Linked DNA regions of Macaca fascicularis. The protein of the gene in region 1 purifies or fractionates together with the protein of each later gene. This does not show direct contact. Links are inferred from orthologs where the notes say so. Each region holds a gene or a part of one and is shown on either strand. Other genes may lie near its edges.

What was found.
Region 2: the proteins of SART3 (region 1) and TUT1 purify together in Homo sapiens (co-immunoprecipitation; 4 studies listed by BioGRID and IntAct, counting the BioPlex papers as one, with this or other methods). This does not show direct contact. The link is inferred for Macaca fascicularis from reciprocal best matches to the Homo sapiens genes SART3 and TUT1.

Annotation. Positions count from the first base shown.
Region 1 is NC_088385.1:115,381,216-115,386,156, forward strand, and holds part of SART3 (squamous cell carcinoma antigen recognized by T-cells 3), read right to left. Parts: intron 4,110-4,941; coding exon 4,005-4,109; intron 1,117-4,004; coding exon 932-1,116; intron 322-931; coding exon 216-321; intron 1-215. UniProt on the Homo sapiens protein: U6 snRNP-binding protein that functions as a recycling factor of the splicing machinery. Promotes the initial reassembly of U4 and U6 snRNPs following their ejection from the spliceosome during its maturation.
Region 2 is NC_088388.1:11,466,933-11,472,533, reverse strand, and holds the start of TUT1 (speckle targeted PIP5K1A-regulated poly(A) polymerase), read right to left. Parts: upstream 3,591-5,601; 5' UTR 3,530-3,590; coding exon 3,448-3,529; intron 1,285-3,447; coding exon 1,094-1,284; intron 107-1,093; exon of another isoform or gene 25-106; intron 1-24. UniProt on the Homo sapiens protein: Poly(A) polymerase that creates the 3'-poly(A) tail of specific pre-mRNAs. Localizes to nuclear speckles together with PIP5K1A and mediates polyadenylation of a select set of mRNAs, such as HMOX1.

The sequences.
Region 1 (4,941 bases):
CCAGTCCTGCTTCTGACCCTCACAACCCTCTTAAGCACTAACATTCAAGATGTTTTTACCTAGGACCTCATCCCGAGAGACAATATCCAAGGACAGTAAGAACACAAGCTTTACCTGCCTCACAGGATGGTGGGAAAGGTCTAACTACATGTCATTCCCCCAAAGTATTTTAAAAACCATAGAGGGCTGGCTATTGACATGTCAGTTTCTCTTACCATAGAGTGGGATCGCCAACTGTCGCCGGAAAAGACTGTGGACTTTCTCAAGCTGTGAATCAAAGGTTTGTTCCCGGTCAAAAGGGGAAAGGAAGCCAGCTACGGGCTAAAGAAGCAAATTAGTAGTAAATAACAAACTGTGGTTCTTTCTTTGTTTTTTCTTTTGAGAAGGGTTCTCACTGTCACCCTGGCTGGAGTGCGGTGGTGTGATCACAGCTCACTACAGCCTCATGCTCCAGGCTCATGCAATCCTCCCACCTCAGAGTCCTGAGTAGCTAGGATCATAGGCATATGCCATCACGCCCAGCTAATGTTTTATGTTTTGTAGAGATGGGGTCTCACTATATTGCCCAGGCTGGTCTTGCACTCCTGAACTCAAGAGATCATCTGGCCTCAGCCTCCCAAACTGCTGGGATTACAAGCATGAGCCACCGTACTTGGCCAACTCTGGTTCTTTCTACTTCAAAAAGTATCTCAACAAATTTTCAGTTCAAGCTAAAAAAATGTATACGACCTCTTCCATACATATTGAACCAAATGCTACAAGGGGTATAAAAAAGGTTATCTATCACCCAACCACTAAGGGATTGGCAAAGACCATTTTGTTAACTATATGAACTGCAAGATTCATCCTGGACATGTGTTTCAAAATAATCCTTCCAAGGAGACTTACAAAGACAGCCCCAGCCTGTTCAGAGACAACCACAGGTACTCACCCGAGCAGCTTCCACGATTGCACTTTCAAACTCTCGGTAAGCCTCCCAAAGGGCGAGTCCTTTGGTCATATGCAAACCAACAGACGAGAGAGCCCTTTCAAACACGGAGCGAACTTTCTCAAGGCCACCTTTCTGACCAATCCCACCAACTGAGTACTGGCCATACTCTAGCCAAATGTTAGGACCTAAAAATAAGAAGTGTTCAATTAGTTTGGGGTATAAAATACCCAAATATCAAAACTGATGCAAAACAAAAGAAATGTGCCTACCAAAAAAGTTCTCAGACAGCAGCACTAAATGACAGTGAAGGCCTAACAGCAGAGATGACCATAAAGGACCAAAAAACATTACAGTCTGGGGAAGACCATAGATCCTCAGAAAAAGATAACTGGTGCTATTAACAATGGCTGTGAGAGAGAAAGAAGTGGGTAACAGGATCATCAGAAATCATGGGAACACCATGCACTGCTAAAATTATCAGTGGTTCTAAAAGAAGACTCATGGGCCACAGAGCAGAGGTACAGATATAGTTTTTAAAAATACATTTGGCCAGGTGCAGTGGCTCACACCTATAATCCCAGCATTTTGGGAGACTGAGGCGGGAAGATCACAAGGTCAGGAGTTCGAGACCAGCCTGGCCAATATGGTGAAACCCCGTCTCTACTAAAAATACAAAAATTAGCCGGGCGTTGTGGCAGGCACCTGTAGTCCCAGCTACTTGGGAGGCTGAGGCAGGAAAATCGCTTGAACTCAGGTGAGGGGGAGGTTGCAGCGAGCCGAGATCACACCACTGCCCTCCAGCCTGAGAGCGAGACTCTCAAAAAAGAAAAAAAAGATAACACACACACACACACACACATACTATACTTGTATATTCATAAAACACCTCTTATTTTCATTATACAGATTATAAACCAAAAAATTGTGAATTCTTTTTGGCTTGCAAAGATACACAAAAAATTCTCTATCTCAGAACAGTCTATATGGTAAGCAGCAATGCTTCTCACAAGAGGGACTGCTCCCAGTGGGAAATCAACAAGGAAGAGGATATGAAATCTGAAAGGGGAAATTGTTTGTTTGATTTTTGAGACAGAGTCTCATTCTGTCACCCAGGCTAGAGTGCAGAGGCATGATCTCAGCTCACTGCACCCTCCGCCTCCTGGGTTCAAGTGATTCTCCTGCCTCAGCCTCCCGAGTAGCTGGGACAACAGGTGTGTGCCACCACGCCTGGCTAGTTTTTTGTATTTTTAGTAGAGATGGGGTTTCACTGTGTTAGCCAGGATGGTCTCAAACTCCTGAACTCGAGATCCACCTGCCTCAGCCTCCCGAAGTTCTGGGATTACAGGCGTGAGCCACCACCCCCAGTCTGAAAGGGGAAATTTTTAGAATGCCTTTTTTTTTTTTTTTCTTCTGAGACAGAGTCTCACTTTGTCACCCAGGCTGGAGTACAGTGGCATAATCTTGGTCCACTGCAACCTCTGCCTCCTGGGTTCAAGCAATTTTCATGCCTCAGCCACCTGAGTAGCTGGGATTACAGGCCTACATGCCACCACACCCAGCTAATTGTATTTTTAGTGGAGATGGGGTTTCCCCATGCTGGGCAGGCTGATTTCAAACTCCTGGGCTCAAGTGAGCTGCCTGCCTTGATCTCCCAAATTGCTGGGATTACAGGCATAAGCTACCAAGCCTGACCTTAAAATGCTTTCTTCTGAGACAGAATCTCACTCTGTTGCCCAGGCTGGAGTGTAGTAGCACAACCTCAGCTCACTGCAACCTCCACCTCCTCAGTTCAAGCAATTCTCCTGCCTCAGCCTCCTGAGTAGCTGAGATTACAAGCACGTGCCACCATGCCTGGCTAATTCTTGTATTTTTAGCAGAGATGGGGTTTTGCCATGTTGGCCAGGCTGGTCTTGAGCTCCCAATGTCAAGTGACCACCAGCCTCGGTCTCCCAAAGTTCTGGGATTACAGGTGTGAGCCACCACGCCCAGCCTTAAAACGCTTTTTAATAGCATTTTGTCCACAGCATTGTCTGATGTGGTCCCCAGTTCACATACAGAAAATATTTAAGACACTTATACTATATACAGGGCACAGTAAAGAGACTTAAAGGGAGGTGAGTCTTCTATACTCCACTTGCACCGGTAAGATGTCAATACCAGCAGGCAAGGGAGGTCTCTGTGGGGACAGAACGATTCTGTATCTGGACTGCAGCAGTGGTTAGATGAATCTACACATGTAATAAAATGTCTTTTTTTCCCATTGTTCCAAGGTCAATTTCCTGGTTGTTGTTCTTTTTTTTTTTTTTTTTTTTGAGACGGAGTCTCGCTCTGTCGCCCAGGCTGGAGTGCAGTGGCCGGATCTCAGCTCACTGCAAGCTCCGCCTCCCAGGTTTAAGCCATTCTCCTGCCTCAGCCTCCCGAGTAGCTGGGACTACAGGCGCCCGCCACCTCGCCCGGCTAGTTTTTTGTATTTTTAGTAGAGACGGGGTTTCACCGTGTTAGCCAGGATGGTCTTGATCTCCTGACCTCGTGATCCGCCCGTCTCGGCCTCCCAAAGTGCTGGGATTACAGGCTTGAGCCACCGCGCCCGGCAATTTCCTGGTTTTGATTTTGTACTACAGAAACAAGATATTGGAGGAAACTGGGTAAAGTGAGTACACAAGACTTCTCTGTACTATTTCTGCAACTTCCTATACTCTATAATTACTTCAAAATAAAAAGGTTTTCTTTTAATGTTTTCATCTTTTTTTTTTAAAGCATCTTGTCCAAAACCTCTAAAACCCTATTCAATGTATAAAAGATCACCAGGAAATGCCATGTAAGCTCTGTCAGTACATCCTGAGTGTGAGTGTACTCATTCCCTTACTGCAAGCGCTTCTTCCACTTTTATTTTAAAACTACACTTCCTCAATTAAAGAACAAAGACAATGACAAGACGATTGAACTTAAATCTTGCTAATTGTTAGACTAAAGTTCCCTTTTCTGGGTAGCAGCATCTCATAATACAGTCCTCAACAGCAGACTGATCTACATGACATTTTCAGATACCCTAAAAAAGTCCACGGGAACTTACAAATGTAATCCTTCACAGCTTTCTCAAAGAGGTCATACACATGCTCTCTGTCCAGGCCGTCCTGGGCCATGCTGATCTCGTCGTGCAGCCACTCCAGCCAGAGCTCTACGAGACAAGAGTACTTCCCGCATTAATACCAAAGGGGAGGCTGAGAGCAGGGACTTTACCAAGAAACATCAGCACGCCAATGCTTCATCCATCTTACACAACCTGGCATTGTTCCAGAAATTCACTTCTTAAAACCTGAACTAAGCACATAGGAGATTTTATGCTTCCAAATAAGATCAAATCACTAAAATCATAACATCCTCTACTTGTTAGGCATTTCATATTTGGCAAAGCACTTTTCTCATTCAGTCTTTATCATAATCCTGTAAGGTTGGTGATAGTAACACTAAAAATAATGACATCTATTTAAGGATTACAACATGCCAGGCATGTGTTAAGTGTTATAGGTAGAATAGCTCATCCTATTCTGTCATACATTACAAGGCAGAAACTACTGCTGCCATCATTTAACTGCTAGAAAAACTGAGTCTCAGAATGTTTACATAATCTGCTTAAGGTCACACAGATAGTAAACGATGTAGCCAGGAATGAATCTAGGTCATCTGACTCTAGCATCTACACTCAGCAGTTATGCTTTGCAGAAGGGAAAAGGGGCAGAGTGGGATCTAGGACCAAAGTGTCCTAAGCACTGCCCAAAAGATCACTTATGAATATTCATGAAGACTAAAGAGTTGTTCAGTGCAATTATGTTTCTAATACGCAAATAAGTAGAAATAACCTAAATGCCCAACTATTCTGGAACAATTAATGTATGAAACATTTACATAAAAAGCTGTCTGTAAAAGTTTAAATATATTTACAATTTTCTGGTTTCAAGAGAATGGATTAAATACATAAATACTGAAATGGGAAATAGAAATGGGATTCA
Region 2 (5,601 bases), on another chromosome or scaffold:
GGGAGGCCGAGACGGGCGGATCATGAGGTCAGGAGATCGAGACCATCCTGGCTAACACGGTGAAACCCCGTCTCTACTAAAAATACAAGAAAATTAGCCGGGCGAGGTGGCGGGCGCCTGTAGTCCCAGCTACTCGGGAGGCTGAGGCAGGAGAATGCCGTGAACCCGGGGGAGCGGAGCTTGCAGTGAGCCGAGATCGCGCCACTGCACTCCAGCCTGGGGCACAGAGCAAGACTCCGCGTCAAAAAATAATAATAATAATAATAATAATAATAATAATAAAAATAAAAATTCAGGCCAGGCGTGGTGGCTCAAGCCTGTAATCCCAGCACTTTGGGAGGCCGAGACGGGCGGATCACGAGGTCAGGAGATTGAGACCATCCTGGCTAACACAGTGAAACCCCGTCTCTACTATAAAAAAAAATACAAAAAACTAGTCGGGCGAGGTGGCAGGCGCCTGTAGTCCCAGCTACTCGGGAGGCTGAGGCAGGAGAATGGCGTAAACCTGCGAGGCGGAGCTTGCAGTGAGCTGAGATCCGGCCACTGCACTCCAGCCCGGGCAACAGAGCGAGACTCCGTCTCAAAAAAAAAAAAAAAAAAAAAAAATTCAAAGGGCGGGGGAGGTGTGAGAAGCTCCCAAAGTTGGCCAAGCCCAAATACTGTGATGTCCATCAAGAACAAGCCACATTAGGAACCAGCTCAAAGAGGCTGTTGGTTTCTCTCTTTTGTCTCTTTGGTACACAGCACATCTGATTCATTCTTTTTTTTTTTTTTCTTTTTTTAAGATGGAGTCTTGCTCTGTCATCCAGACTGGAGTGCAGTGGCACGATCTCAGCTCACTGCAACCTCTGCCTCCCAGGTTCAAGCAATTCTCCTGCCTTAGCCACCCAAGTAGCTGGGACTACAGGCATGCGTCACCACACCCAGCTAATTTTTTATTTTTAGTAGAGATGGGGGGGTTTCACCATGTTGTCCAACTCCTGACCTCAGGATGGATCCGCCTGCCTCAGCCTCCCAAAGTGTTGGGATTACAGGCGTGAGCCATCGCACCCAGTCCTGATTCATTCTTTACCCCGAGAGCCATTCACTTTACCTTGTCCTTGTCCATGACAACACTGGCCACAGGTCCAAATGCTTGGAAATACTCAGAGAGCTGAGCAGAATCCACATCCCTGGGAAAGCCACTGACAAATACACTTCGAAGTCCCTGGGCCTTTCTCGCAGCTCGTAGTTCCACCAGGTGCCGGTGCTTTCTGCCTCCCAAGTGGGCATCAAGGCTGGGTCCTGCAAAGACAAGTGTGAGATAAAAACATCCAAAGCACTCTTCAGCGTGTCTGCCTTTGCTCTCTGCATACCTAAATCTTACTGATCCTTCCAAGCCACAGAAACTGTGACCTTTGACTAAACAAAGTCTTGGCTCCTTTCACCTTCCTCTCTTATACATTTGTCTAAATAGTACATTCTTTTTAAAAAAAATTTTTTTTAAAGTCTCACTGTCACCCCCGCTGGAGTTCAGTGGCACAGTCTCCACTCACTGCAATTTCTGCCGCCCAGGTTCTACAAATTCTCCTGCCTCAGCCTCCTGAGTAGCTGGGACTACAGGTGTGTGTCACCACGCCTAGCTAATTTTTGTATTTTTAGTAGAGACAGGTTCCCAGGAGAACTGGCTACACTATAAGTATTTCGTTTATTTTTACTTAAAGAACTGTGTGATAGTAAAGTCCTTCTTAAACCACCTATTTGTGCTAGGTAGAGCTGGAAAGAAATTAACAGGTAACTTATCCAGGTCATCTACAGAAGAACTAAAAAAATTCAGATCCTAGAATACTTCGTGGATCATCTCTGGACATGGTATGATACAGTGATGTCAAGGGCAGGATCTGAAATCACATTGCCCAAGTTCAAATCCCAGCTCTGTCAAGCTGTGTGAGACCTTGGTCAAGTCATGAAACCTCACTATGCTTCAACTTCCTCAGATATAAAATGGAAATAACAGTATCTAGCACCTCACACACAGGTATTATTCACATGTATCACTTGGCAGAGAGTCAGGTACATGGTAAATGTTGAAAAACTAGCCATTGCTATTATTTTATTATGAGTTAGCTGCTTGATGTCACTAAAGTAAATGTGGGGCCAAGGAAGACTCCTACGTTTCTGGCTTGGCTTACTGGATGAACAGTGATAGTGCCATTCACAGAGAAAAGGAAGAATGGAAGTAGACCCTGTTTAGGGAAGATTGTGATTCCAGACTTCAAAAGTAGGGCCGGGCACATTGGCTCACACCTGTAATCCCAGCACTTTGGGAGGCCAAGATGGGAAGATCGCTTGAGGCCAGGAGTTGGAGACCAGCCTAGGCAACACGGTGAAACCCCATCTCTACAAAAAATTAAAAAATTAGACAAGGCCGGGCGTGGTGGCTCACGCCTATAATCCCAACACGTTGAGAGGCGGAGGTGGGCGGATCACGGGATCAGGAGACCAAGACCATCCTGGCTAACACGGTGAAACCCCGTCTCTACTAAAAATAAAAAAAATAGCCGGGCATGGTGGTGGGCACCTGTAGTCCCAGCTACTCGGGAGGCTGAGGCAGGAGAATGGCGTGAACCTGGGAGGTGGAGCTTGCAGTGAACCGAGATGGCGCCACTGCACTCCCAGCCTGGGCGACAGAGTGAGACTCCGTCTCAAAAAAAAAAAAAAAAAAAAAATTAGCCAAGTATGGTGGTACACGCTTGTAGACCCAACTACTTGGGAGGCTAGCTGGGGGTATCACTCTGCAGCTGAGGTTGAGGCTGCAGTGAGCCGAGATCACACCACTGCACCGCAGCCTGGGTGACAGAGCGAGACCTTGTCTCAAAAAAAAAAAAAAAAAAAAAGTGGAATTTGAAGTTACAGTGAACCCCTTCTCTGTCATACAAGAACCTTGTCCATTTTTCCAAACCCATCTTCTGTCCCTTCCTCACTGGTATCTTATGGTCTAGTCATTCATGCCATCTATTTCATCCGTCCCCGCCTTTGAGTAGGTCCTCTGTAGGGCTTCTCTGATTTAGTTATTGATTCTCTGTGGTCCCACAGTTCTCCAAACATATCTATAAAGCATTGAAACTTTCTCCATCTCTAAACGGTGAGCTCCTTCATCTCTGAACCCCCTTCCCCCACCCTAAAGATCAGCAGAATACCAGGCACAGAGCATATGTCCAATAGATGATGGTTAAAGAAGGAATAAAACAATGAAACGCGTTGTGGAGATTTCGTATACTGAGAAGGAGTGTAATGTGGTGGGACTTTCCCGACTCTCCAAATCCCCTCGGACTTGCGGAGTAAAAACGCAGGTGAGAGACCCTACCAACCGACCTGACAGGAACGATTACCTATAACCCTAACTTTCGCCAGGATCAAAAGACGAAAGCCCGCAACCACCCGGGTCCCTCACTAGCCACCGCTTACGGTTGGCTGTAGTAACGTGGCAGAGGCAGCAGCGGAAACCCCCACGTGGCAGCGATTCGACATCCGAATCCACCGCCGCCATAGCGACTCTCCTGTACCGACAAAAACACAAGCACCTCTGCCACGACCGGAACCCACTTCTCTGAAGCTCAACGCGCTCGGAAGCTACTTCCGCCGGTCCGATAGGAAGTGACATAAGTCGTCCAATTGAGCGGACACACTCCTCCGGAAACCAAGCTCCTTCGACTCCGGGTTCCGTTCCTAGCCGCTGTCGAGTCCCCGCCCGTTTTAGGAAAAGCCGCGCGTTACGATGCTTATCTGCATGCGGCAAGCCGATTGGTGTGCTTTAAGCTGTTCAGGCGTTGATTGGCCCAAAGCGTCGTGAATATTTATGACAGCAGCCACAAAGGCCGGCGCCGGGTAGCGTCTAGCTGCAGCTCCTTCACCCCGCAGTAGATACCCTTGTGTCTGTACCCTCGACCCTTATTTACCCGACGAATAAAGGCAGAGGATCGGCGGCTTCCAATCCTTTGCCCCACGGAGCCCAGGGCTGTTCCTGGACTTCCAACCTTTTCAGGGCTGTTATTCCCTCCCTCCACCCCCTGTCCTCTCGCAAAACGGGTGTTCTGCGACTGCTTCTAGCCCTGGTTGGGGAGCTCTGCCACCACCGGGCACCTTCCGGACTCCACAAGGTCCCTGGAGCCAGGCCCATTCCTTCCGCAGTAGTGGGCTGCGTGGTGTACTCCCGAGGAGCCAGAGCCACTGGCGTACCCCAGAGCAGTGCGACAAGACAAAACCGAGTACCGGTAACTGAGTGAAGACACTGGAGGGGGCGAATGCTGTCAAAGCCCATCTGGTATAATTGTCAGTTCCTCCCAACACCGCCGAGGTGTAGGCTCAGTACAGGGAGGGACTAGAGGAGCTGGGGATGCCCTAGGGACAGGGATCATAAGGAGGTGGAGAGGACTTTCAGATGGGCTCAGCCCACAGCTTTGAATGGCGCAAAGAGCAGTGGACCGAAGGCAGACACCATGGTCTTTGACCTTGAGCGAGTCACAACTGCCGAGGCTGTTCCCCATCTCTAAAGGAAGTGCCCAAGGAGCATATAGTAGGCTGAACTTCTTGTTGTCTCTCCTAAGGTGTTCCTTCTAATGGGCCCTGCTCAGGCATCTAATCTCAGTGTCCCAAACCTTTCAGGCAGGAAACGGTGCTACAGTGGATCAGGGTATCAAGGCAGTTGCTGAGACTGGCCTTGAGGATCCTGAAGCAGCAGGCTGTACACATACACCCAGAGGTGCTCGAGTGGTTCAATGGTAGAATTCTCATCTGCCAAATACACCACACAGCTAGGTGAGGAGATCCTCCTATAACCCCATCACCACCACCAAGGTGGTATACATGTTACCCTGGCTGCCAGCAACTTCCAGAATTCCTTAAGTGAAAGGGAGAGGGGAGTAAGAGGTGGGAAACAGAGGAAGAAACACCCCCATTCTCCTTTCCTATGGAGGCCACCAGTCATCCAGAAAGCTCATCTCAACTCCTTTGAAGGAATCTGGGCCAAGATGGTGCTTGGGCTCCATCACCACTGGGAGCTGGGGAGCAGTTTGGATCCCACAAGAAGGCTAGCTGGAGCAAGCCGCCTCGGTCCAGGCTGCATATCTCATAAAGCTGTTCCCAAGGCAAGAACCATCTGTACCTCCTTTGTTGTCCTTTGTCCTTTATTTTCCCTGTCAAAGACACCCCCAACACACACACAACACACACCCATGGCAAAGAACAGCTGAGCCAGGAGAAGCTGAAGAAAACAGCTTTTTATTTGTTACTATAAGAACCAATTACAGAATCCGAGGTTAAAAAAACGGACAAAAGATCTTTATTTCTGAGAACTGGCGTACAAAAGGCGGAGGGGGAGGGGAGGGAAGGAAAGAGCGAGCATGGCCTGGGGTTGATGCCAGCTTAGGGGCCTCAAACTCCAATTAGGATAGTCCGGACACCGGACAGAAAGAGAAACCCCCAATTAGGAAAAAAAAAAAAAAGACATGGCAGTGCACGCCCCCCTCCCCCAACCAGGTACCACCACCTGTTATCTGTTTACTCTTCCCCTCCCCATCCCCTTTCACAAAGGGAGGCAAAATTTTTAAAAAATTAAAAAAC